Linked DNA regions of Oreochromis niloticus. The protein of the gene in region 2 interacts with the protein of the main gene of each other region in a pairwise test. Links are inferred from orthologs where the notes say so. Each region holds a gene or a part of one and is shown on either strand. Other genes may lie near its edges. The genes, in order: gad2, promethin and cacfd1.

What was found.
Region 1: the proteins of promethin (region 2) and gad2 interact in binary tests that used the Homo sapiens proteins (3 or more experiments, as listed by UniProt). The two-hybrid records come from large-scale screens. The link is inferred for Oreochromis niloticus from reciprocal best matches to the Homo sapiens genes LDAF1 and GAD2.
Region 3: the proteins of promethin (region 2) and cacfd1 interact in binary tests that used the Homo sapiens proteins (3 or more experiments, as listed by UniProt). The two-hybrid records come from large-scale screens. The link is inferred for Oreochromis niloticus from reciprocal best matches to the Homo sapiens genes LDAF1 and CACFD1.

What each region holds. Positions count from the first base shown.
Region 1 is NC_031974.2:12,419,084-12,427,192, forward strand, and holds the start of gad2 (glutamate decarboxylase 2), read left to right. Parts: upstream 1-5,024; coding exon 5,025-5,100; intron 5,101-5,405; coding exon 5,406-5,468; intron 5,469-5,614; coding exon 5,615-5,758; intron 5,759-6,408; coding exon 6,409-6,642; intron 6,643-7,848; coding exon 7,849-7,939; intron 7,940-8,109. Other genes in the region: myo3a (myosin-IIIa), read left to right, coding at 1-184, 2,395-2,509. UniProt on the Homo sapiens protein: Catalyzes the production of GABA.
Region 2 is NC_031969.2:19,228,997-19,236,211, reverse strand, and holds promethin, read left to right. Parts: upstream 1-4,137; 5' UTR 4,138-4,297; intron 4,298-4,550; 5' UTR 4,551-4,571; coding exon 4,572-4,664; intron 4,665-4,776; coding exon 4,777-4,945; intron 4,946-5,034; coding exon 5,035-5,180; intron 5,181-5,808; coding exon 5,809-5,877; 3' UTR 5,878-6,830; downstream 6,831-7,215. UniProt on the Homo sapiens protein: Plays an important role in the formation of lipid droplets (LD) which are storage organelles at the center of lipid and energy homeostasis. In association with BSCL2/seipin, defines the sites of LD formation in the endoplasmic reticulum.
Region 3 is NC_031972.2:15,730,653-15,738,282, forward strand, and holds the start of cacfd1 (calcium channel flower homolog), read left to right. Parts: upstream 1-4,381; 5' UTR 4,382-4,894; coding exon 4,895-5,003; intron 5,004-7,289; coding exon 7,290-7,362; intron 7,363-7,630. Other genes in the region: ptcd2 (pentatricopeptide repeat-containing protein 2, mitochondrial), read left to right, coding at 624-753, 1,128-1,220, 1,306-1,435, 1,532-1,649, 1,753-1,831, 1,939-2,030, 2,128-2,241, 2,337-2,411 and 2 more. UniProt on the Homo sapiens protein: Transmembrane protein which mediates synaptic endocytosis and fitness-based cell culling.

The DNA.
Region 1 (8,109 bases), on a different chromosome or scaffold from region 2:
AGTCAATGGAAAGGAGGCGGTCCGTAGAGAGGAAGCAGTCCATGGACAGGAGACGATCTATGGATAGAAGGCAGTTTGGGGACAGGAGGCAGTCTGTAGAGCAGAGACTGCCTGCTCCCAGTCGACAGATCCGAGAGAGGGCCGCCACTGAACCGGAGCATCCCAAATCTGCCAAAGAAAACAGGTGTGTCATTTATGTCCTCTTCATAGTGTCTCTGGCAATAAGTACATGCCCTATAAAGTGTCCCTGTATTTTTGTGAAACTGTGCATGACTGCATTAATTACTTGTTTCTGCTTTTTTAATAATAACAACTGTAGACCTCCAGCTAGGTTGCAGCTGCAACATGAACCAACCCCATACAGATAACTTTCAGCTATGTTGTAATCAGCACCATCAATAAGCTTCAACAAGGTGGAACCACTTTTAAGCTGGAAATCAGTTTCCACTTTTTATGATGCCATTTTAATCTTTGTCAATACCAACCACGAGGTCCCATTATGACATTTTTGGGATTGTTTTTCCAGCCATCTCGTCATCATTTCCATTGACTCGCATTATGTGAAACAGATGAAAGATAGGTAATGGCCTTCAGGATTTTTGTCCAGCTGACCGCTTTGTTACCGTCTGCACGTACAATTTATTAAAGTTCAGCTTTACTCATTCACAAATATAGTCACAAGTTACATTATTAATGTTTGCTAACTGAATTTGTTACGTTTCTACTTCAGCATAATAATGCTACCACTGTTGCTACTGTTTAAAAATAAATCTAATCTCTGTGAATTCAGATGATTTTTAAAGTGAGACCTTAGTTTACAGAAAGAAGGAAAAGCATTATCTACATAACCATAATAAGACAAAGCTATACAGGCTGTATATGAAAGATGGAAGTTCTCACCATGATATCACCCACTGAAGCCACTTCTGAAGCATTTTGGCTCCATCTTGGATTTAAGAGACACATCTGATCGTATTTTAATGAGGCTGGAGTGCTAAGCTAGCAGCTAATGTTGGCTAGCTGGTAAGGCTATAGTTACAGTAAGGACAATGGTGATAAGAGACCATGGCATGCTACAATTTTATTGCAACTGTGTACAGTAAACTTTGTAGTTTTGAAAGTCTTAACAGCAAGTCTATGAAAACTCAGTCAATTGTTTTCTTCAAAGTGACTTTGCTGCTTTAAAGTCGGTGATAAAATGGCAATAAGATGAAGTCAGTCTGCTGAATGAGGTCAAGTAGATAATTACACGCAGTGTGTTTATTATAATAAGGAAAATTGCTGTCATTCGTTGCTAATCTGTTGCAGTCTACACATTAAACAGAAGTTCGCATAAATTACTTATATTCATAGTCCAGTCAGAACCTCACAGATATAAGACAGAAATTCTGAAATTCCTTCACAAATAGTGATGTAGTTGTCTCGTCTTTAATTCTAACATTGTGCTTGATTGTATAGGCACAGTGCACAGATATCAACTAATTAGTGCTTTGTAACATGCAAATAAAATACCAGACTTTAACTCATCACAAGCGTAGACTTGGAGAGTTTGTATCACTTAGCTGATCAAATAATTTCATCATAAAGGCTACAAAAGGCAGAAACACCACAAACACAGTCAAGACTTCCAGTTCAGTGACTTTAATTAGCTGAGGTGAAGCCTAGCAGACAGATTAGCAGCCTAGCCTGCATCCACCTGTCACTCAAACCAGTCTCACCCATAATAATGCATAATTTTAAGCCTTGACTAAATTTAAATTGCTGATTCATAATAAAAATTTCACTCCACAATAAAGTTTTTATGAAGAGCTAAATTATCTTCAGAGCCAACAACTGGGGTGTAAACATGTTTATTTTTACAGAAACTTGTTCAGTTTAACATAAACTTACTGCAGTCTGCCTCAAGTGGCTGTTTGAGGAACTGCAGCTTTTGGCACTTCAACTTTTCATTATTTTTCAGTGCTATTCAGCTGCCTGTCACAAAAAGATATTAATAAAGATTCTTCAGATCAGGACTACAAATCAGCTCCTTGATTTGTAGTTTTAGTCTGGCCACATCCTTACTCCATAATAGGACTTGTGAGGTACCAGCACCTCTGTTTATGAGTCTGGTTTTTGAATTTTAGTTTCTACTTGCTCGAAGGATAAATTCATGTATGAATTTAATCTATTTTCCCTTCAGCTTGGCCGCTCCCTTGGACAGCTCATGATAAATGGCCCAAATATGATAACCAGTATGAAAACCTTGAACCCTGAACATGAATCTTTTCATCTCCTTTCCATTTAATTTTGTTTGTTTGTTTGTTTGTTTACATCCCCATGTCCTACCTTGTGTTCAGCATTTCTGTTTTTATCTCTTTGTGCTGAAATTTGTCTCCTTTGTTTAATCGACAGGCGCTCTGTTCCCAGAATGGCCTCCACAGAGAGCCGGACTGAAGAGAATCCATATGACTTCAGACATCTACTGAGGAAGACCTCGCAGCGACAAAGGCTGATCAAACGTTACTGAATACAGGAAGTGACTTTTGGCTATTCGGGACTTGATCGGTCGGGATCACTGATCGCACCATGTGGCAGTGTGTTCTGGTGTCCTGCTAACAACAGCAGATGTTTCATTTATTTTATTGATCTTCAGACACATTGTACAACAGTTTGACTAAGAAATGAAACTCCTCTGGACTTAACTGGACAAAATGTTTTGATTTCCATGCATACAGTGAACACAGAGTACAGTCAATGTAAATAACAAGATGTCATACTTTTAAACTTGCTGTAAAATAAGGTTTTATTTATGAGACCAACAGTCTAGTTACTGGTATTCTGTATTTCCAATGTTTTTTCTTCGATATCTTTATTTTCTTTCAAAGAATTTGCAGGTTGTGCTCTTAAAACTTTGCATTTCAGGTCATTCCGAAGTCTAATCAGCTTCATATTGTGAAGAATGTACATTATTTTATCTGCTCAAATGTTCAGTTCGTTCACTTAAACAAAAAAATATATTAAATTCCTCGTCCCGTTTCATTATTTTCAGTTCGCTGCTCTCAAATTAGCCGAAATCGCAAGCTTGTCATTACCCTGCAAAATGAGTAACGTAGAAGGAAAAATGCAAAGACATTCAGTGTTTCATTGCCTGTGTACATAAAGTACATCAATTCCTCACATTGTCCCCCATCCCGCGTTATTGTTGCTTTGTGCCCAATAATCACTACGTATGAAATAACATTCACCCAAATGACAGCCTTTGATTCTTGTGAATATTTGGTGGAAAAGTAAGAAGGACAGAATGTTTTTTATTTATGTATTTATTTGAATATTGATGCCAGATTCGACCTCTGACCTTTATGTGACATTTTTGAAAGAGAAGCCCCCCTCAGGGGCTGTTAGTGAATCCCCAGCTACATGCTGACTGCACACAGTGCACAGTGGCACAAAAACACGTAGGGCTGAAGAAATCCTGACAAAATGCAGACTACAAGAGAAAAACTGTTACAGCTTCCTCCACACACAGGATTCACAGATAAATGATTTAAAATAAAATATTATTACAAAATGTTACACCAAGTTTGAACAAAGAAAGAAACTCTGAAATGACACAATAGAGTAATCTCATAATACATTGAGTTTGGGTTTACACATTTTAAAGGGTTCAGTTTATGTTAATGAGTCTTTTTGGGTATTAGATAACTGTTGACCAGTGCATTCATAAATCACCGCAGATGAGGCTCAGTGTAGCTTTGATGCCCGCAGGGTTCATTTACACTAATTCGTGGAGACACGGAAGGTGACGCTGTTGGACTTCCACGTGGTGATTTGTAACTAGATACTGTAAGTAAAATAAAATGTTATTTCTGTAGCACCTTTGCAGACAAACACACAGTGCTTCACAACACAATACCAGAGCAAAGAAAAACAGAGTTAATATTATTTTTAACTATTCCAATTTGTTTTCCTCCTTATATCCGGATGTTTTGACGCAGTTAAACTGCAGATTTACGGGCTTAACTTTATTTTGGATGGGGGGGGGGGGATGTCTCAAAATCAGACGAAAAAAAAACACTTTGTGAGTAAAGAAAGTAAAGCAAGCCCCTCTCTCAGTAATAAATATTTTCGGAGTAACGCGCCCCTGGAGTGAGCGGAGAGAGGAGGGACCCAGGCGCACTGTGTATTTGAACCGAGTCCCCTCTCCGCCCCGCTGTCTCCTCCACCGGAGGCGGGCAATTAGAGGTCTGAAGAAATAGGTCTGCGATTGCTGGGCAGATGAATTAGTTGGCGTTCAGTGTCTGTATGGAGGGTAAGTTCTGTGCGCAGGGGGCCAAAAATGTCGGGGATGTATGGAGTCACGACGCACGACGCAGCGCGGCTCGTCATGACCTGAAGTGAATCACGACGGGATTGCTTTAGTGACGTGAAATTTAGGTTGGCTGCAATTAGGCATGGCTTGTGCGCCGCATATTTACCAGCAGCTGTAGCCTCATAGCTGCTTTCCCCCCCCCCCCCTCCACCATTTTCACCACCTCCTGCTTTTCTTTCTTTTTCTTTTTGCTTATTGTTTTTCTCTGAGTCATTTTTTATATAATGTAGCAGCTTTGCATCAAAAGACATTTCACTACATCCGGAACTTGCGCAAACTATCTTGCGCTGTATTGCATTTTTCCCCCTATTAAGTAAAGAGCTTGGCTGCTCTGCGCCGGTCAAGTGTTTGCGGATTTCTTTCTGGACACGGCGCTTCATGCTTCGTGCACCTGTGGACGCCTGCAAAGGAGGAAGCAAGGACGCCTTTTGTGATTTCTTTTATTTTTATTTACCCACCCCACGCTCACACACACGCACATACGAGGGTCGGTTTATTTGTAGGGTCTTTCCAACGAATTAAAGCGTCTGTCGGATGCACGGCTGGATTTCAAGCAGTCTGAAAGGTCTGGTCAGATTCAGCACCACATCGGCTCTGAACAGCTCCCGGTCGTCGCGTGTGGATGGGCTCTGTCGGTCTCCGCGCCTCCTGCAGCTCCTAACTACCGGCAACAATGGCATCACACGGGTTCTGGTCTCTTGGCGGAGATAATGCGGGGGCCAATACCGGGAGTCAGAGCCCGAGTACGCGTGAGTGGCTTTTTGTCTTCAAACCACCTCCTGACGGACCGGGCGCAGTAATTCCTGAGCGTTGTCTCAAGCCAGTGCCCTGCATTCAGCGAACCACCAGACAGGCCTTATAATAGGCAACAATCCTGCTTTTTTTTTTTTTTTGGCTTCTTTCTTTCTTCTTTTTCTTCACATGAGACATTTTTCGTGTATCTAAAGAGCTGTTTTATTCCAAGTTGCATGGCGCCTTTTGTGTTTCCCTAAACTTGGACTGAAGCTGAAGCCAGCACATCCCTTATCTGATTTATCCCCCTTCTCTCTTCCAGCCAGGGCTTGGTGCCAAGCAGCGGCCCAGAAATTATCCGGAGGAATTGGATCGAAACTATGTGGTATGTTGGGGAAGGAGCGGGGGCGGGGGTGGAGACGGAGGGGAAGCTATTTTTAGGCAAACGTGCCAGTTATTTCCATCATAACTGTCTGGCCATAGAGTAATAAAAATATATATTTCGATGCTCTTTTTTGTGGGTTTCCAAAGCGCTGCTAAATGTCGGGGAGGTGGAGAAACCTGCCGAGCCGGGCGCCAAGCAGCCGCCGCAGACGGCTGCAGGAACCTGCGGCTGCAACAAATCCTGCAACTGCACCAAAGCTGCTGTGGTCTTCTCCGACCTCTATTCAACAGGTACGAAAGTGCACTGTGAAGCTGGATTAATTTTGAGATTTATTTTCTTCCCCGAGTCCAAACTTGGCCTTACATTGAGCAGTTTTCACTGTGCGAAGTAGGCTAGAAAATAGACCTTGTTTTTATGCGATATTTGTATATAATCATCTTAACTATAAAAGAAAATAATCTCAAAATGTGCATCAAATATTTGCATCTGATCGCACAAACTCCTGAGAAATGAATGGCTGAAGTTATCCGCTTTAATCTCAATTTAAAAAATAACACATTATGTATTGGATGAATAGTTTTGTCCATCATTTTCATTTTTACCACATTCTGAGAGAGGAGTTATGTTGGTCAGTTCTTTCCTCCTCAAAGAGGGGCTATTTCCGAGAGGTCACCTTCACCAGAATCGTGTGTTTTGAGGTGTTGAGCGCAAAACACGAGATTTTCGTATAAAACAGAATCAGTGTTCGGACGTGGAAACAATGTCAAATTATTTATTTGTCTGCATGGAGGAAAATTTCAAAGACAAAAAAATAAATAAAACTTTGACCCGTGTAAAGGTGAATCTTGATATTGCGTGGAAGCATTTTTTTGCACACATTCCTCCGTCCTCAAATAAAAATCACAAAATGCCTCCACTGTAATCCACCCTCCTCTCGCAGACCTGTTACCGGCCACGGACGGTGACACCAAAACGATGACCTTCCTGCAGGAAGTTGTGGATATTTTACTGGCCTACATAGTGGAGTCTTTCGACCGGGAAACGAAAGTTATTGATTTTCATTATCCGAACGAGCTGCTTCAGATGAACAACTGGGAGCTGCAGGACGAACCTGCGACTCTGGACGACATCTTGATCAGCTGTCGCGCTACACTGAAATACGCCATCAAAACAGGTAGGCCTGGGTCTGATTTTATTGCATGCATGCAAATCAATAAATTCACTTTTTAATATACACATATGTTTATTTAAAAAAATAGATGCGTCGGAGTGTTGGAAAAAATCTCCCCCCAGGCTGTATCATCACACGCAGGCCTGGATTCCGGCCTTTCGCTCATCTTTGTGTGAAATCTGCCAAAATTCCAATATTTACGCATATAAATGGAAAATTAAAAACACATTTTTAACAATAAAATAAAAAGGAAAGCTAGATAAATTACAGAGCGCCACTGTGAAATTTATGTTACACCTTACAAATTATTTAGTTTTACTGCAAAACTAAACTGGAAACACGAAAGCGGTGAGCTTAAAAAACCGACCCGGAAAGAGAGAGGCAAACAAAGAAAACGTCTTTAACGTGTTCCGGGTTTAATAAATAAATAAATAAAATGATAAATGACGCCTATAAAGCATCAACACAGTTGTCCTCCTTTTCCTCCTCCTGACCACCAGACCGATAAATGCAGTGACGCAGTAAATCTGGTTCACCAAGTAGGAGATAATAGGCTAATAACCAGGCTTCATAGGCCAAGTCCATTATTCTCCCCTGAGTGACACACGCAGGGGGGGAATTTACAGCAACGCCACAGGACAGATTTCAGCCTCCAAAAAGAAAAAGAAAAACTGAAAAAATAGTTTATGAATATTTAACAACCTTAAAAACAATTAAAATCACACTGTAATGCGGGTATAAGCAAAGATATGAGGATTTCAGTCATTTATTGTAATCATCAGCAATTCTCCTCTGCTATGAGAAAAAATGTGTATTATTATTATTTAGGAATTATTAGGTGCCCACAGAAGGACTTGCACCAGATTTATAAGTACAGTTATATCTTCCTTCCTTCCTTTTTTTTCTTTTTTCTTTTTTCTTTTTTTTTTGTTTGATCAGCCCCATAAATTACTCTTTGTTTTAACTCCTGTGTTTATGACGCAGACTGAAATCTGATCACGTCTCACTGCTGTAACATGTTTTGTGTGTTTACCTTTTACATTGCTCAATGCTACACCAAATGTTTTCATCACTTCCTGAGATTTTGTTTTAAAGTTGACAATTAAAGCGCTCGGAAGATGACAGCTTCTGCTGCGTAAAACCTTCAAATTGCAGCCATCTCACACTCCGCCTCTTTGCCTTCTCCATCCTCTGCTCCTTTCCCTTCAGCCCACCCCAGGTACTTCAATCAGCTCTCCACGGGATTAGACATGGTCGGACTGGCAGCCGATTGGCTAACATCCACCGCCAACACCAATATGTAAGTATGTGGCCTGCTTCATCGCGATTTTAAGCGGTGATAATGATAATGACAATGGATTCCATTTCCGGACCATCCGCGTGCAGTCTGCTCTGCGTCTGCATGGCCTGATAGCGGCCCCCCACCCCCTCCACACACACACACACACACACACACACACACACACACAC
Region 2 (7,215 bases):
CCCTCCAGGGAGCTCCCTTTGAGCCTCTCACTCTGCCCAGTCGGAGGACAGGAAGCACAAACAACCCCCTTCATCTGGCAAAATGACAACCACTGACAATGAGGGCTATCCTATTTGACACAGGGCAGACTCCAAAGACATTTTGTTCTCCTGCAGCCAGCTGTTGGACGAACACTCCTGTGCAACTTCAAAGAGAGGCGAACAAAGTGAGGAAGTGTGAGAGAGAGGTGTGGGTATCGAATGGGACAAGCTGAACAGAGACGAATAAAAGAACTAGGTCCCTCGCATTTTCTCATAATGCACAGAAGGCTACGACTGCAGTGTGTCAGCGAAGGGATAGACATCAGTAAACAAATGATATTAAAAAAATGCTGGACATGCACCAGTTAACAGGGCACCACTGGAGATTTCCAACTATTTCATGGTTCTTCATCGCTCCTCCTCTCGCAGTGATTAGTTTTTACAATCAGTGAATGCAAATTGGAATTTGCTGACAGCCCATCAATCACATTTTGGTTGCAATCTGTTGAGCAGCCTGACACATGCCAGTAGACATATCGTGCAGTCAATTTGCTCTCAGACAGCCAAATATATCTCCGTGCCACATGTATATGGGACATATTAACAACATTCAGTTTTCATCTACGCTCAAGGGAGAGCGGACTGCTCGTCACGCATGTCATTCACTGTTTCTCCAGAGCCACAGAACAGCTCTGTTGCATTTAGATGTCTTATTTTGACCAGCGCAAAGCATATATGAATTAAACCTAGCGCACAGCCAAAGTGATAATATGATTTTGCCTAATTTAAATCACATTTTAGTTGTATATTTTACTTAAAGATCTTAAATGAGATGTGAAAGAGGGTTCGTTTTAGAAATGCATGGCAGTTCACTTCAGTCACTTTGGTCACAGAAGGGAAAGCCCCTCATTAGTTCTGCTTGACATTTATTATTTCAGCATCAGTAGTAGTTTCAGCCTAATAAAAAATCAGTACACGGGTTTTATAAGAAACTGAAAAGACACAGTGCTTGAACCAGGTGTAGTATCTTTTTTAAAAACCACTCCTGAACAAAGTGCCTTTAATTTTGCAGACTTAGACAACATGTTTTTGGCCTAATGAGCAAAGAAAGCCTATAATTACCTTCTAGCATTGTGTAATGACCATGTACTTTGAAGGTGATTAAACCTCTACACCTCCTCTGGCTCCGATTTAAGACTAGATTTTTTTTAATTCTAGATGGTAAGTGAGGACTGATCCAAGCAGGTCAGGTGTGTAGCATAATGTACTGGTGAAAGGGGACATAAAACAGAGAGGTGGCAGCTGCTTGAAGGTTTGTTGCCCACTGCAGCTCTAAGTGATGAAAAATGAATGCTGCACTGCCGTGGTGATTTGATTGATTTCAACATGTTTCCTCCTAAATAATGCATTACTACAAAACACTGTATGATGGCATGTAGCGCAGCAGTGCACAATTTCAGGCTCGGGGACAAAACGCATTGGAGGAGATAATCCAAAGAGAAAAGTAAATAGAATAATATTGTTTGAGTTCTCACCTGTTGCTTGTTACGGAATAATTGTAATTTAAGGGGGTGCTTTGTTTAAACTGACTTCAACTACAAAACAATATTAAAGATTTGCAAAAATAGGCTGTCAATTGCTTCAAAGGTGTCATTTGTTTCTTAATGATGTATTGATTACTGAGTGTTTGATAGATGACTGAGATTTGAGGCTGGTCTCCCTATGAGATGTTTCACAGCTTTGGGAGAAGATGAAGCTTAATGCAGTTCAACAGGGGCGTGCTGATGAACAACCAGCACGCAGGCAGGGTCTTGTTAATGAAGCATGCATTGGTTGGCAGTCAGAAGTTATGTGGAATGCAGTGCAGCAGCCAGCCTGCAGAGTTTCCCACTATGAAATGTGTAATCTGATGGGGAAGAGCCATAAAAATCAAAGCCTGAAATTCAAGGAGATTGCAGAGGGTGGGGGTGAAGGGTGCAGGCTGAGTTATTGGGAATCCCTTGTTGTTTGGGTGCAGATGCACAAACTGCATACATAATCTCCTCTTGTGTAACTCCTGTGTACCTCCTGAAAAGCCTTGGTTCACTGGGTTCACGGTGTTTAGCAGTCTGGAGAGGTGGATGCTGTTTTTTTTTCTCCCACCGAACCTTCCCCCTGTACACAATACCAAACAGCGTGATTAATTAGTATGGCCAGCAGCTATAAAGGCTCCAAATAAGTTGTCATCACTGGTCCCAGGGGTGTCTCTCTTTGGTGTAATTCAGAACAGATCGCCCTGCCGTTTCGCTCGCCCATGCCTGGCAGTTATGTGCTCACAAAAATTTAATGCCGTCCAAAACTCGAGGGACTTAACGTAATTTGTGGGCACCTGTGGTAATATCTGCTATCTTTTACCGAGGAAGCAATCAGCGGCGGAGGTGAAGCTCAGTCATTTGATATTCCGATCAGTCTTCACAGAGAAATCTTACTGTTGCCATCTAATAGCAGCACAGAGCTGAGAGCTAAACAGTGTGGTCATTATTTTTAAAGGGCCATTTCAGCCCGACAGACTCGACGTGAAATAGGAACCCCCCCTGCAGGATCTCAGGGGAACTGCTGATAATAAAGCACCTGCTGCAAAGCCTCGGCAGTCAATATGAGGGCATGTTCAAAAGGTACCGTTTGCTGAGGTTACTCCACATCAGAGGTGCTGAGTAACCTCTGATAATGATGTCACCTGCTTGTGTTTGCTTTCTACTGAAACACACTTCCAGAAATGCACGTTTATTCTTCGCTGATTTCCGTTTTACTCCCGTGACAATAAAAACAAAACGGCAAGAACAAATCACTTGATCGTTCGTGACCTCGTGACCAACTCAATTAAGTCCATTTGTGTTTTATGGCACAATTAAGCCGAAGCAGAGAAGGCTGGCACCGGCATCCATCATAATTACTGACTGCATCATTTAATGACAGTGAATAATATGTCTGAGGAGGAGGGGAAGACACGCAGCTGCGCAGGTGGAAATATACTTGAGAGTAAAGGAAATGTCACCGCTGAAAAGGAACAAGAGAACAATCTGGGACGAAACTTCACTGTTCCAATAATCAGTTAATGGCAAAATAAGAGGTAGCATTAATATAACGTGAAGCAGTGATCGTAATCTCCACATGATTATTAATGCATTAGCAATTAAAGTATTACATGTTATTATCAAGTTATTATTTGTTTTTACATTTAAATATAAATGACTGTATCAGTGCTGTTATGGTGTTGCAGGTTATCATTTTTACCACTAGAGGGCAGTAAATAAACATGAGTCTGACTAAGGTCAGACGAAAACTATATGTGTTTTCATTATGGACATTTTATTACTATATGCGTCATTCTACTGCCTTATGGTTACCTATCTGTATAAGTTTCCTTGTGGAAAAAAAGAAATATTTTCCTAATATTAGGAAATAAATAAATACACATGACTAGCCATGCTTATTTTGGAGTTGCTGCTGGTTTATTATTTTGGAAGTGAAATCTATTGTTCACATTTATTTTCTCATTTATTTAAATTGATTTAAATCTTTTATAAAAGGTTTTAGAGGGCAGTGCAAATATTTGGTCACTCCAGATGTTTGATTCCTGCATCCTTGCATCCAGATTTTATTCTGCAGCAGAGTCACAGAGTGATATCATCAGTCACAAAGTGTCTTGATTCATGTGCAGTCATCCAGGTAAGGAAATCCCAAAAAGGAATCCAAGTCCCTTGGGTGAGTGACGCTGCAACGTTTCTCCCACTGAAAACGATGAACAGAATCGACTTTTTGGGGCCATCAGTCATTTGTTTTCTCCAAAACAAATGAAAGTGCAGGGTGGGGAAGAGCTAAAGTTTCATTTTATAATGTAATGAGTGTTTATTTTTTTTAATTTAAATTCATTTTTGTATTATTTTGTCACTGCTCTATAAAATTGCATTTTTTAATGCACTCCCTCACACGACAAAGCCTTCAGTATGGGCCTAGGTTACTTTTATTGTAGATTATACTATTTTAAATTTTCTTTGCTCCGTTGCTCTTGCTAGCCACCTAGAGCTGCAATACCTGAGCCCACCACTGGGTGGCAGCGTTAACCTCGAGAACCGTTTCTGAGTTTCTGTGAAGAGGAAGAAGGAGGAGGAGGGACGAGCAGAAAGGAGATGTGTGTTTTAAACAGGGTGTGTTGTTTCCGTGGACGTGTTTTAAGCAGCCACGGGACATTCGTGATTTCTCTCTCATGTTGTGAGCTGTCGATACTCAGTTTAAGGTTTGTACCTCACAGCAGAACTTGTGTTATATGTTTTAAAAAAGTGTGTAATGAAAGTTACTTTCGTCCAGTGAACGGCAACAGAAGTTCACAACAGTTGTTAGCTTTATCCCAGATTTTGTTTCTGAGCTAGTTTTTATTGTTACTGGGGCTGAGCTGAGGATGTGTTGAGCCGTCGGAGTAACTTTTAAATAGGAAGCTAAGTGGTGGGATTTAAGCAGCCAGACTGACTGTGTGTGTTTTTCCTCCTCAGTCACTAAAGACCTGTGTGGAGATGCAGACCAGCAGCAGTGAGAGGGGGGCTGACTTTGAGCAGCTGAAGAAAAGATGGACGGCCTTGGTGAAACACTTACAAGATGACCCCAGGGTAACCCAGAACTTCACACCTCCACCTGTCAAAGTTTTTTATGTTTTCCCTAATTTGTGTCCATCAGCTGATGGTTTGTCTTCCAGCTGCACTGAAACCTGATCTCTTACAGGTAGCACGGTTGCTGAATACGAGACTTGGACGGTACCTCAGCAGCCACTCGTTTGTAGCTCTCACAGCTCTGATGTTCAGCGCCATGGCTGCAGTGCCTGTTGGACTCTTTGTCACTTTTGCCGTTGTGACCACGATGATATCTGCAGTGGGTTTTGTTTTCTGTGAGGGTAGGTGCGCTCACTCTTGCGCTGTAGTATTTTTATGACACCGCACCACCTGGTAGTCACAAACCTGTCACCTGTGTTTGCTCTCTCAGCATTCCTGTTGTTTGTCGGAGGGTTGGCTCTGCTCTGGGTGCTCTCTGGTATCGCCCTCTTCGCCATCGTGGCCTCGGCCGTCGTTAATGTTTTGTATGTCACCACCTTCAGCCTGTTGAACCGTTACTACCCACATCTGACAAAGGTAACGTACTGACAATTAAGCATGAGTTTAGTTGCCTTGTTTGGAACAAAGTTTGTGTTGTAAATTAAAGTGGATCTATTGTGCTCATTTTAAGTTCAATGTTATTATTCATGAGCTCTACTAGAGTAGCTCTGACATTCATCAGACCTTCATTCACTGTCTGAAACAACCTTTGAACTCCCTTAAAGACAACTCTCTTCTGATTGGCTGCCTGAGAGATCAGAGATCACAGTAGTTCATCTCTCAGATTATGTGAAACTTTTGACTTATTAAATAAAAACTATATACACTCAGTCGTCACTTAATTAGGTGCACATCTTTAGCTTCTTGCTAATGGACCAAAATCTGTGAGGAATGTTTCCACCTCCTCGTTGAATCTGTGCCATGAAGAATTAAGGCAGCTCTGAAGGCAAGCGGGGGTCCAACCCTGCACTAGTTATATGTAACAGAAAATAAGGAGAAACATAGCAGGTCCTTTTTAGACATAAACAGGCATATATTCCCCTGATGGCAGTGTATAATCATCCATATATGTTCATATCATCAGTTAATGTTAAAAAGTTTGTAGCTTGCATTGGAAACATTTGTTTTCTTAGTGGAATTAATCTGTTTTTCTCTTCGATAACAGAAAGGTGTAATCGAGGGAGAGAAGACTGAGTGTGAAACTTCAACAGAGAAAGACTCGAAGGCCAACTAGTTTTTCTTCTTCTGCCTGCCTGAAGTTTCGAGTGAGCCCTGCTGAATCCGGGAGGTTGCGATGCAGCGATACAGACTCCTGAACGTGCACTATGGTGTTTTGTTTGAAATCTGCTGTTGTAACAGATCTCATTGTTATTGTATGTCTTAAGCCTAATATTGTTATTATTCCAGTAGTCTCACTGTAGTGGAGAAAGAGAGAGACCCATGGAATAACTAACATTGAACCTACCTCATTTGCTAAGTCAAGTAGCCTTGTTTTAATCAAATGCCAAAGACGCAGGCAGCTTTCCGATCTGAAGAGTGAAGCCGATGACGAGGCGTTTTAAACGTGCACTCATTTAATGGCCACTCCTTTGATTGTGTGAAGACTTACAGCTGTGTAGTAGTGTGCCTGTGTTATTTATCCATCCCTTATTTGTAGCGTCCAGTTTTAAAAACTCTCAAAAAACATTCAGTGTGAGGGCTCATTGACCAGTGAGGGAGGCTTTATGTGAGGCTCATTTCAAGAACTAGAGAAAAGGGGGAACTCATGCACTTGCAGTGTTACTTTATCCCCCCCAAAAAGGTCATGCACTACTTCATTACAGATGAACGTTTTGTTAGAATGGAAATGCCGATATATTTGTGTGTTCGGCTGCAGTGTACAGCTACTTGATGTTAAGTGAAATGCACCAAAATGACTGTCATGTGTTTATGTTTGCTGTTACGTGTGAAGAGGAACGCTATCTTCTGTCCAAACAGAGGTGAAAATATTCTGATGGGTCCCTCCAAAAAATAAAGAATGATGAGAAATGTTGTGTAGAACATGCAGTTGTAATTATTTACTGTACACAGCTGTTTATATCAATCATAATGAGGCCAAACTCCATGTACTGAGAAGATGTTTATCCATACTGCATATTGTGCATCTGATGACTGAACACAAATTAAACGTTGTTGGGGTAAATTGAACCCAGTGCACGCTGTATGGTATGTTTCGCTATTCTATCAACGTTTCTGTACTTTATTTCTCTTATTATCAAAAATAATATGGTCTTTGCTTCATCCAAGTCGCATCTTGAGTTTATCTGGCTTTAGCTGGAGTAAGTGAACTCTAGCTTGTCGATGTTCATTAGTTGTTTGATCCCTGGTTTGTTTCTGGGAAAAGACATAAACGCAGCCTCAGGAGGGGTCACGAGCTTCCACACGAGCCTGCGTAAATGGGAGGTTTGTGTCGGGAAGGGCATCTTGTGTAAAATCTGTGCCAAATCAAGTGTGGATTCATTTTGTGCGCCCTCAGGGGAAGGGAGTAGCTCAAACTATGTTAGTGTTCCTCCAGTGTTTTCTATGAAAGCTG
Region 3 (7,630 bases), on a different chromosome or scaffold from region 2:
AAGCTATTCTATTCTATTACAGTAAACAGCAATATAGTAACAAAGAATAATACCATATGAGTGTAAGCTCATATCTGACTTTCTTAGTCCCTGCATTTTACATTATTAAAATGTGTATATTATACCTCACTGTGTGGGTACAGTACAAACACTGTAGCTGCTCCAAGCAATGACGCCAAACCAGAAATGTTCTGTAGCACAACAGCACCACCTGCTGGTTAACAGATAAACACATTTTCCTGTTTGATGCCGTTTTGTTGAGTAATAAAATTTCGCGTGGCCTTTCTGGAAACCACGATTCAAAGAATATAGTTAAAGCTTCGTTTTAAATGACGATCACATTATTTCTGATGTATAATGAAAAATCTGTTCTCCTTCGACCTGCTTAAAAAAACTGAGCCGGGTCATTAAGCGGTGCCATTTTGGATCATACCAACTGGAAATACCACATTACGGAATTAAAAATAATAACTAATTATATTTTTCAGATTAAATAAAATATTGACATTTTTAAGTGTTTTATTTTAATATGGCTTAATTCCCAGGGCGGAAATTGTTTTGTTTTTTTTAATTTAAAACCTTGCTTTATTATTACCAATAACATCCCCTTTGATTTCATTGCCATGGTACAGCCTGTGGGAGATATGGCGCTGGGCAGACTTGGTAAATGTTGTCGGTCGTTATTATATGAGCCCTCTAAAGGAGTTTTTTACGGTGTTTTACAGATAGGCTGGATTGAAGGCTGCATAGGAGGTAAGACAAACAAAAGTCGCCAACAAATGTTGTCACTCTTTAAAAGGTAGTATGAAAACTGCGTGGTTTGCATAGCGGGGGCAGCTAGCACCCTGTAAAGCAGGCACACGTGAATTAAAGCAAGGTACAGCTGCTAATGGGGATACTGAACTTGAAATAAAGTCCACCAGAATTTGGATTTAAAAGCTTAACTGTTGCCACTGTTGTTCTCTTTGGCTATGTGAGTATTGTGCAAGTTATTCTATGCAAGGCTACCTTATCACAGGGACTCGTGAGGGCTTTCTTCTCGTATAGTTGTTATTTTTGCCCGTATATAATTGCCATGTAGTGGTAACTGATTATGGATTCAACCACGCATTTTAACCACCCTACAGCTAAAAGGCATCTGTTGTCGGAAGATGTTATCAAGCTACAAGACTTCCAGCAAAGGAAGCTGGCAGTGGCTCACCATGTCAGTGGATCGGAAGGTGAAGTAGTTATTCTTGTCACTGGCACAGTTCTGCAAATTTATGTCGTATAAAACTTACTTTTTGTGTAAACCTAACTTTACAGGGAATTATATTAACCTATTCAGTCAGAAGCTGCAAAGGAATGAGCTGATATTGCGGGATGAGTTGAAGCTTCTCCTTCACCTGTGCCAGTCAGCAGATGACATGCAGATAGCCAGAGATGCCATCTACAGGTAAGCGTGCAGCATTCACTTACAGGGATTTTTGTTAATGACCAAAAAACAACCCAGCCAAACCTCACTCACCCATTGCTGGCTTGCTCTCATAAGGTATCACACAGAGAACCGTAACTTGTTGTATGGAGACTTCAAATTTGGTCCTCTCTTCATGAGACTGTGCTATGAGTTGGGTCTGGAGAGCATGGCTTTTGCTACAATCACGGATAAGGTGAACTGTACAACATCCAGACTTCAGTTTTACAACAATAACTAGACTGGGCATATACTTCAGTGTTTGACTAATAACATTTTATTTTGTCCTGTCTGAACAGAGCATGAAAGGATTTTTCCACGACACCACCTCCTTTAATATAGCGATAGACATGTTGTTCATGAAAGGCTCCTTTGAAAGTAAGTGACAGGTTAACTCTCCTGTGGTTTTTTTTTTTGGGGGGGGGGGGTTTCTCCCACAGTGATTATGATATTTATATAATAATGCAAACTTTTAACTATTGCAGATGCTTTGGAGGTTCTAAGAACCATGAGGAGCCAAGGCATACCATTCAACAAAGACACTCTCACGTTAGCAGCTGGTACCTGCTATAAGCTGGTAATGTTTCAGATATTTTAATCTTTTATTTTCATTTAACATTACAACCTTATTTATTCTTATATTTGGACTGATGCCCTGTTTTTGTGTTGGTCAGAATACGGCAGAGACCTACCGGATCTGCATCGCGCTCATAGAAGAGGAACAGACCAGAGGGCAGTTCATCCCGAGGCATACTTACTGCTTCGCTGTAGCACTAGCACTTCGAAGAGTGAGTTTTACATTCAGTACCTCTTATGCTTGAAGAGAGATGTAGCACATATTTAAAGCATCATTTATTTTATTTTCTGTGTGTGTGTTTTCCAGGGTGACCTAGAAAAGGCTCAGTCATTATTTTCACAAATTATGAGCACCGACAGCAGATTATGCCAAAATTTTAAGGTAAAGGTGCAGCATGTAAAATGTAATGTGCATTACTTCTTGCATTAGTTCTTCCTGTCATTCTGTGTAATTTGTTTGTTCTTTAGGTACTAATATTAACAATGTCTGGAGCGTTGGCAGAGGCTATTTCTATACTTTCTGCAGCCATGTTGCCAGAAAGTCCATCTTTTGTAAAAAAGCCAGAGTTTTCTCAGGAGGTGGTAAGTGAAACACAGCTACAGCTACTTAAAACTAGCACAGCTGCCAGGAGATTGGTTAGGGTTACATAACTGTTGTTAGTGTAAATGCTTATGTACAAGATGAGTGGTGCATTTAAAGTTCTACACTTTTTTTTTTCTGCGATAAACATTGGAAAAATCTATTCCAAAGGAATTTTGATGTATCCTTGTGCTGTTATTATTAATCTGAGCTACTCTGAGGAAATGTTACTCACATTGTTGATTCAAGCTTCAGAGAAAAATCATCTGCCCGAGAGTTGACTTGGTGTCATCCCTTTCAGGTGGATTTGCTACGTTTGCGGAGTCAGGGCAGGCCACACATGATAAAAATGGAGCAGGTAGTGACTCAACTTGAAAGAGACGGTCAGGTGACTCAGCAGACGCTCGATGACATGCTGTGTCGCACGCCCACAGGGAAGAGGAAACCAGCGCCAATAGGACTGGAGAGGAGAACTAGCCGGAGAACTCTAAAGCCTCTACAGTCCACTTTACTGTCAGAGTGAGGCCAGAGTGGGCCATTTAAACACTCTGACATTTCCCAGAGTTGACTTTGATGCTATAAAAGCACTCATATGATATTTAAGGGCCCTGAACAGCAGCCTATTAAAACGTGCTTGTCCTCGCCAATGCAGATACAACAGCCCATAGCATTGCACCTAAAGAAGCAAAATTGCCAAGAGGAAAGTTTATTTTTCTACTACATCAGCATCATTGACAGAGCCTATGCCATCTTCAATAAAGAACACTTTAATATTTTATGTTAAATGTGTTTAAAATAAATTCACAGTACCTGTGCAAACTCTCAGACTAATGAATTATTATGTGAAGGCACAAAGCAACACTGTTGTGAAAAGGTAGGTTGCCATCTTTAATGCTGAGTCATTTGACAGTTAATGCATATGACTCAGGACTATCGTTAGCTACCAAGAAATCAGAAACGGGGACAGGTTTATTTGTAAGGCTCGTTTGGAGGTCATAAGTGGGTTTTTTGTTTTGTTTGTTGGGGGAGAAGTGTGTTATGTGTATGCATGAGTGATCAAAGACAGATTTATTAAAAATCTAAAGTCTTGGGCTGTTTCTGGAATCAAATGATTTTGCTTTCTCATACTTTCTGAAGAGGACACTTGCAATTGTAAAGAGCAAACACTTGATATGTTGTGAGTTTTTCCCGTAGTCAACACTAGATGTTTCCCACATCTTTAGTGTGGTTTAAAGGTTTAGTAGTGTCTCTTGGATTTCTATTTGAATGAAAAAAAGTGGGCCAGACCCTTGAGTCTAAAGACATTTAATTACACATTTAAAAAATCCCTGAGATATCTTATGAGAAAAAGAAGTTCAATGTTAATGGTACATCTCAGTGTTTCTACATGGCCTGTACTATAAAGAATGAAAGAAATGTGTTACAGAAACATTTATGTTTAAAAAAAAAAAAACAAATTTCTATTTAGTAGATATTGAAAAAGAAATTGAAAGAGCTTTTCTGTAATTTAAATATGTAATTTAGCGTAGTATGAATGGTAATGCGAGAGGTCTTAAATGGTACTAAACAGCTGGTCTTGAGTGTACACTCTCAGCACCTAATGCCACACCTTAAAAATAACAGATTACTTTAGTAGAAAATTATTAAAATGCCAACAGATGGATGTGAAATGCTAGTATTTCTACTGTAACAAGCATACATAAAGTACAAATGCCAACCAAACCCGCCCGTAGGAATTCGCCCGGATGTAAACAAACCGTGACGTACATCGGAACCTTCCCACAATGCACCGCTTACGTCTATTGAGCACGTAATAAGGCGAAAGACTGAGCTGCTAAATTAACGTGAACATAGCGGGTGAACAGTTAGTAAACAGCAGAAAGACAGCGTGTTTGTTTATTCGTTTATGTGACTGATTTTGAAGTTGAAGCCATATGAGGCGGTGCGGCGACATCCTCGCCTAGCGGCCGCTGGTGGCGGTGCTTTTTAGCGTTAGCTTGCCGGTTCGCTGGGACTGCCTGTGTAGAAGCTCCTCGTAACATCGGGCAGCTGACCCCAACTGGAGCAGACAAAGGAAAGAAAATAATTTATTTTAAAAAAGACGTATAAACTGAAAAAGATATAAAACTATTCGAAAGGACCGCGAGGTCGGAGTAAGATAGTTAGGAATTAGTTTGCTGGGTATTGTTACATTAATTTATATTTTCATATTTGGGTGTTGGGTGGTCTGATATTTGTAAATACTGGCTTTGGTTAGCTTTAGCGAACGTAGCTAGAAAAACACAATGAGTACCGAAGAGACGGCAGCGCCTACAAAATCCGCTCCGGATGATGATGGAATGACATGGTGGTACAGATGGCTCTGCAAAATAGCTGGGGTTTTGGGAGGAATATGTAAGTAGTTGTCAAAGTCTTATGTCACTTCTGGAGTAAATAACGTTACGTCCACAGAAACCCAAATCCTGCCATGACCACACGCTTAGCTTTAGTTAATACCACAGACTGTGCACTAGGACCACTGCTGCTGCTGTGTGCCAGGTCACGACATTTACTTATTTTGTGTGACAGCTATGTGAATAATCTTTACGCCGTAATTGATACTGTGTGTGTGACCTCCTCAGTATCCAGATGAGGGGCAGCTGCAGAGTGACATGGCATGGCATTTTCATAACGAAAAATCTGTTTTAGATTGTGAATATGCCGCAATTTAACTGCACAGCCACTAAACGAAAGCTTTGTCACTGCTTTGTCCCCCTCGCTGCAGCAGCAGCCGCTCCTGGGCACCGCCTGTTTGTTTTTTGTTTTTTCATGCCACAGCAGCTTGTTCTGCCAAAACGAACCGCGATGTACACGCACATACTCAGGTATTCCCCTCAGGAGTTTCATGTGAGGCTTTTTATTTATTTATTTATTCAAATGTAACTGCTGGAGCTGCAGTTTTTGCAGTATCCCTGCAGCCAACCTTCCTCTCCCTGTATCCATCTCTCCTTCACAGTGACACCAGAGTCACAGTGGCTGTATCACATTAACAGCTCCATATTCAGTGGCTTCTGTATTATTAAGGAAGCTGGATGGTCTGAAGGTGCAGTGGATGAGTTTCAGCATGAAGCTGCTCTGTGGTGTTGTTTGGTTTAGTTACCACAGTGGTGAAAACTGCAAGACTTGAATACTCTCGACACCACCCTAAAAATACAACTCTGTGCAGACATGAATTGGTATTCTGAACTCAAGGGTTTTTACGATTTTGTGCAAGATGTTTTTTTACATTTCAAAAATATCTTTAACTGGAATGTGTTTGTTTATGATTAATTGATACAGCAAATGCTAATAAAATATACATAAACTTTTAGGATGGAAGTAAATTACAATTTAAGATTTATAAAATTATCTAAAACAAAATTTTACAGCTTTATCATTTTTATTTGTAACATTAACTATTGGCAAATAACCTTTTGGATTTCTGTTTTGGGGGGTTTCTTGTTTTGTTTTTTTGCCAGCTCTTTTTTCCCCGTTTCTGCAAAATCCAATCCTCAATACTATTTAATACTTAATACAATATTTACCATCAGATTTAGAAGCAGTGAGATTTTTTTTTCAGATATATCATTGTTTTTAATAGCTGTGGAGTTCACATGTGAAATGAAGTTATGGAAGTAATTTCAATGTAGTGGATACATGCAAGCACACACAGCAGACTGAAGATATAATAATAGCCAACCCCAAAACTTTACCTGTTCTGTTCTACATGGATATCATGTATCTAGATAGCACTTCTTGTGTTTATAGTTGACTGCATTACATTAGTGTGAATCAAACTGGCAGTAATTTACACCATTAGTTTATTTTCTGTGTTAATTGCTTTATTTCACACACATCCGTGATGTGTGAGGTGCCAAGTTGGCTACATTAGAGCCTGCCAGAAATCCCCACATGTAGGAAGTAGACATGACTTCTTTACACAGCTTTTGAACTCACCATCACCAGCCGTCTGTTTTCTACTGAGCTTTTGGTCTGTCTCATTTTTCTGCTGTACACATATTTAGTTTTTTACATACAATAGTGGACCTTCTGCTCCTTAGCAGTGGAAAATCTTCCTCACACTGTGTAGATGTTGTCTATCATAATCACTGTGGGAGAAATGCTGCGAGCGAAAGGATTGAAAGGTTTCAAACAAATGATAGCCAAAAAGAGGAACGCAGCCTCAGTTATGATGCAGTTATTATTAAAACACTCTGAAACTAATTCTCTTGTACATAAAAAAGGCAGTCTGCTTTGATTTTTGACCTGACTTCTGTCAAATTTGTTCTGTGTAATTAATCTCTGGGCCAGGCCTTGTTTCATAATCGCCCTTTCATCGAGATAGGCGTGCTGTATTTGAACGGTTTATTTGATTTTCGTTTATTTGTTTCAGAACAAACGCAGAGCACAGTTGTAGCGCTCATGAGAGCTCTTCTGTGTTTGTTGTCCTTTTGCATTCGTATGTTCCATATTTTCCACGTCACTAAGCAGCTTACACATGACAACTTTCCCATTTTTCGACACAGAAGTGGCTGAACTGTATTAACAGCTTCAGCCGGATGTATGGGACGGATTATTTTCTCTATCATGCAATGATCTGCTGTCTGTGGTATCATAATAACAGCCCTTTGCTTTGTGTTTTGTCCTGTCCAAATCATGCAGCCTGTGCCATCTCAGGAGTGTGGAACTGTGTCACTGTGAACCCTCTAAACATTGCTGCTGGAGTGTGGATGGTGTAAGTCCCATTACTGTCGCACTTTTGTAATATTCACATGCCACACAGGTAGATAGTTTAAAGGACAGTTCAGAGGTGAAAAAGCAGTAAACATAATACCAAATGACCTCTTTTCAGGCAACACTGTGTGTTGGTTATGTAGCACATTCAAAGACAATCAGAAAGTTGCCTTTTCTGGTCCAGTTTGTGTAAAGTAATGATTAAAGACACCAAATTAATGAGCCTTTCAGCACACTATACATTGATATTGAGCAGAAGTCTCATATAG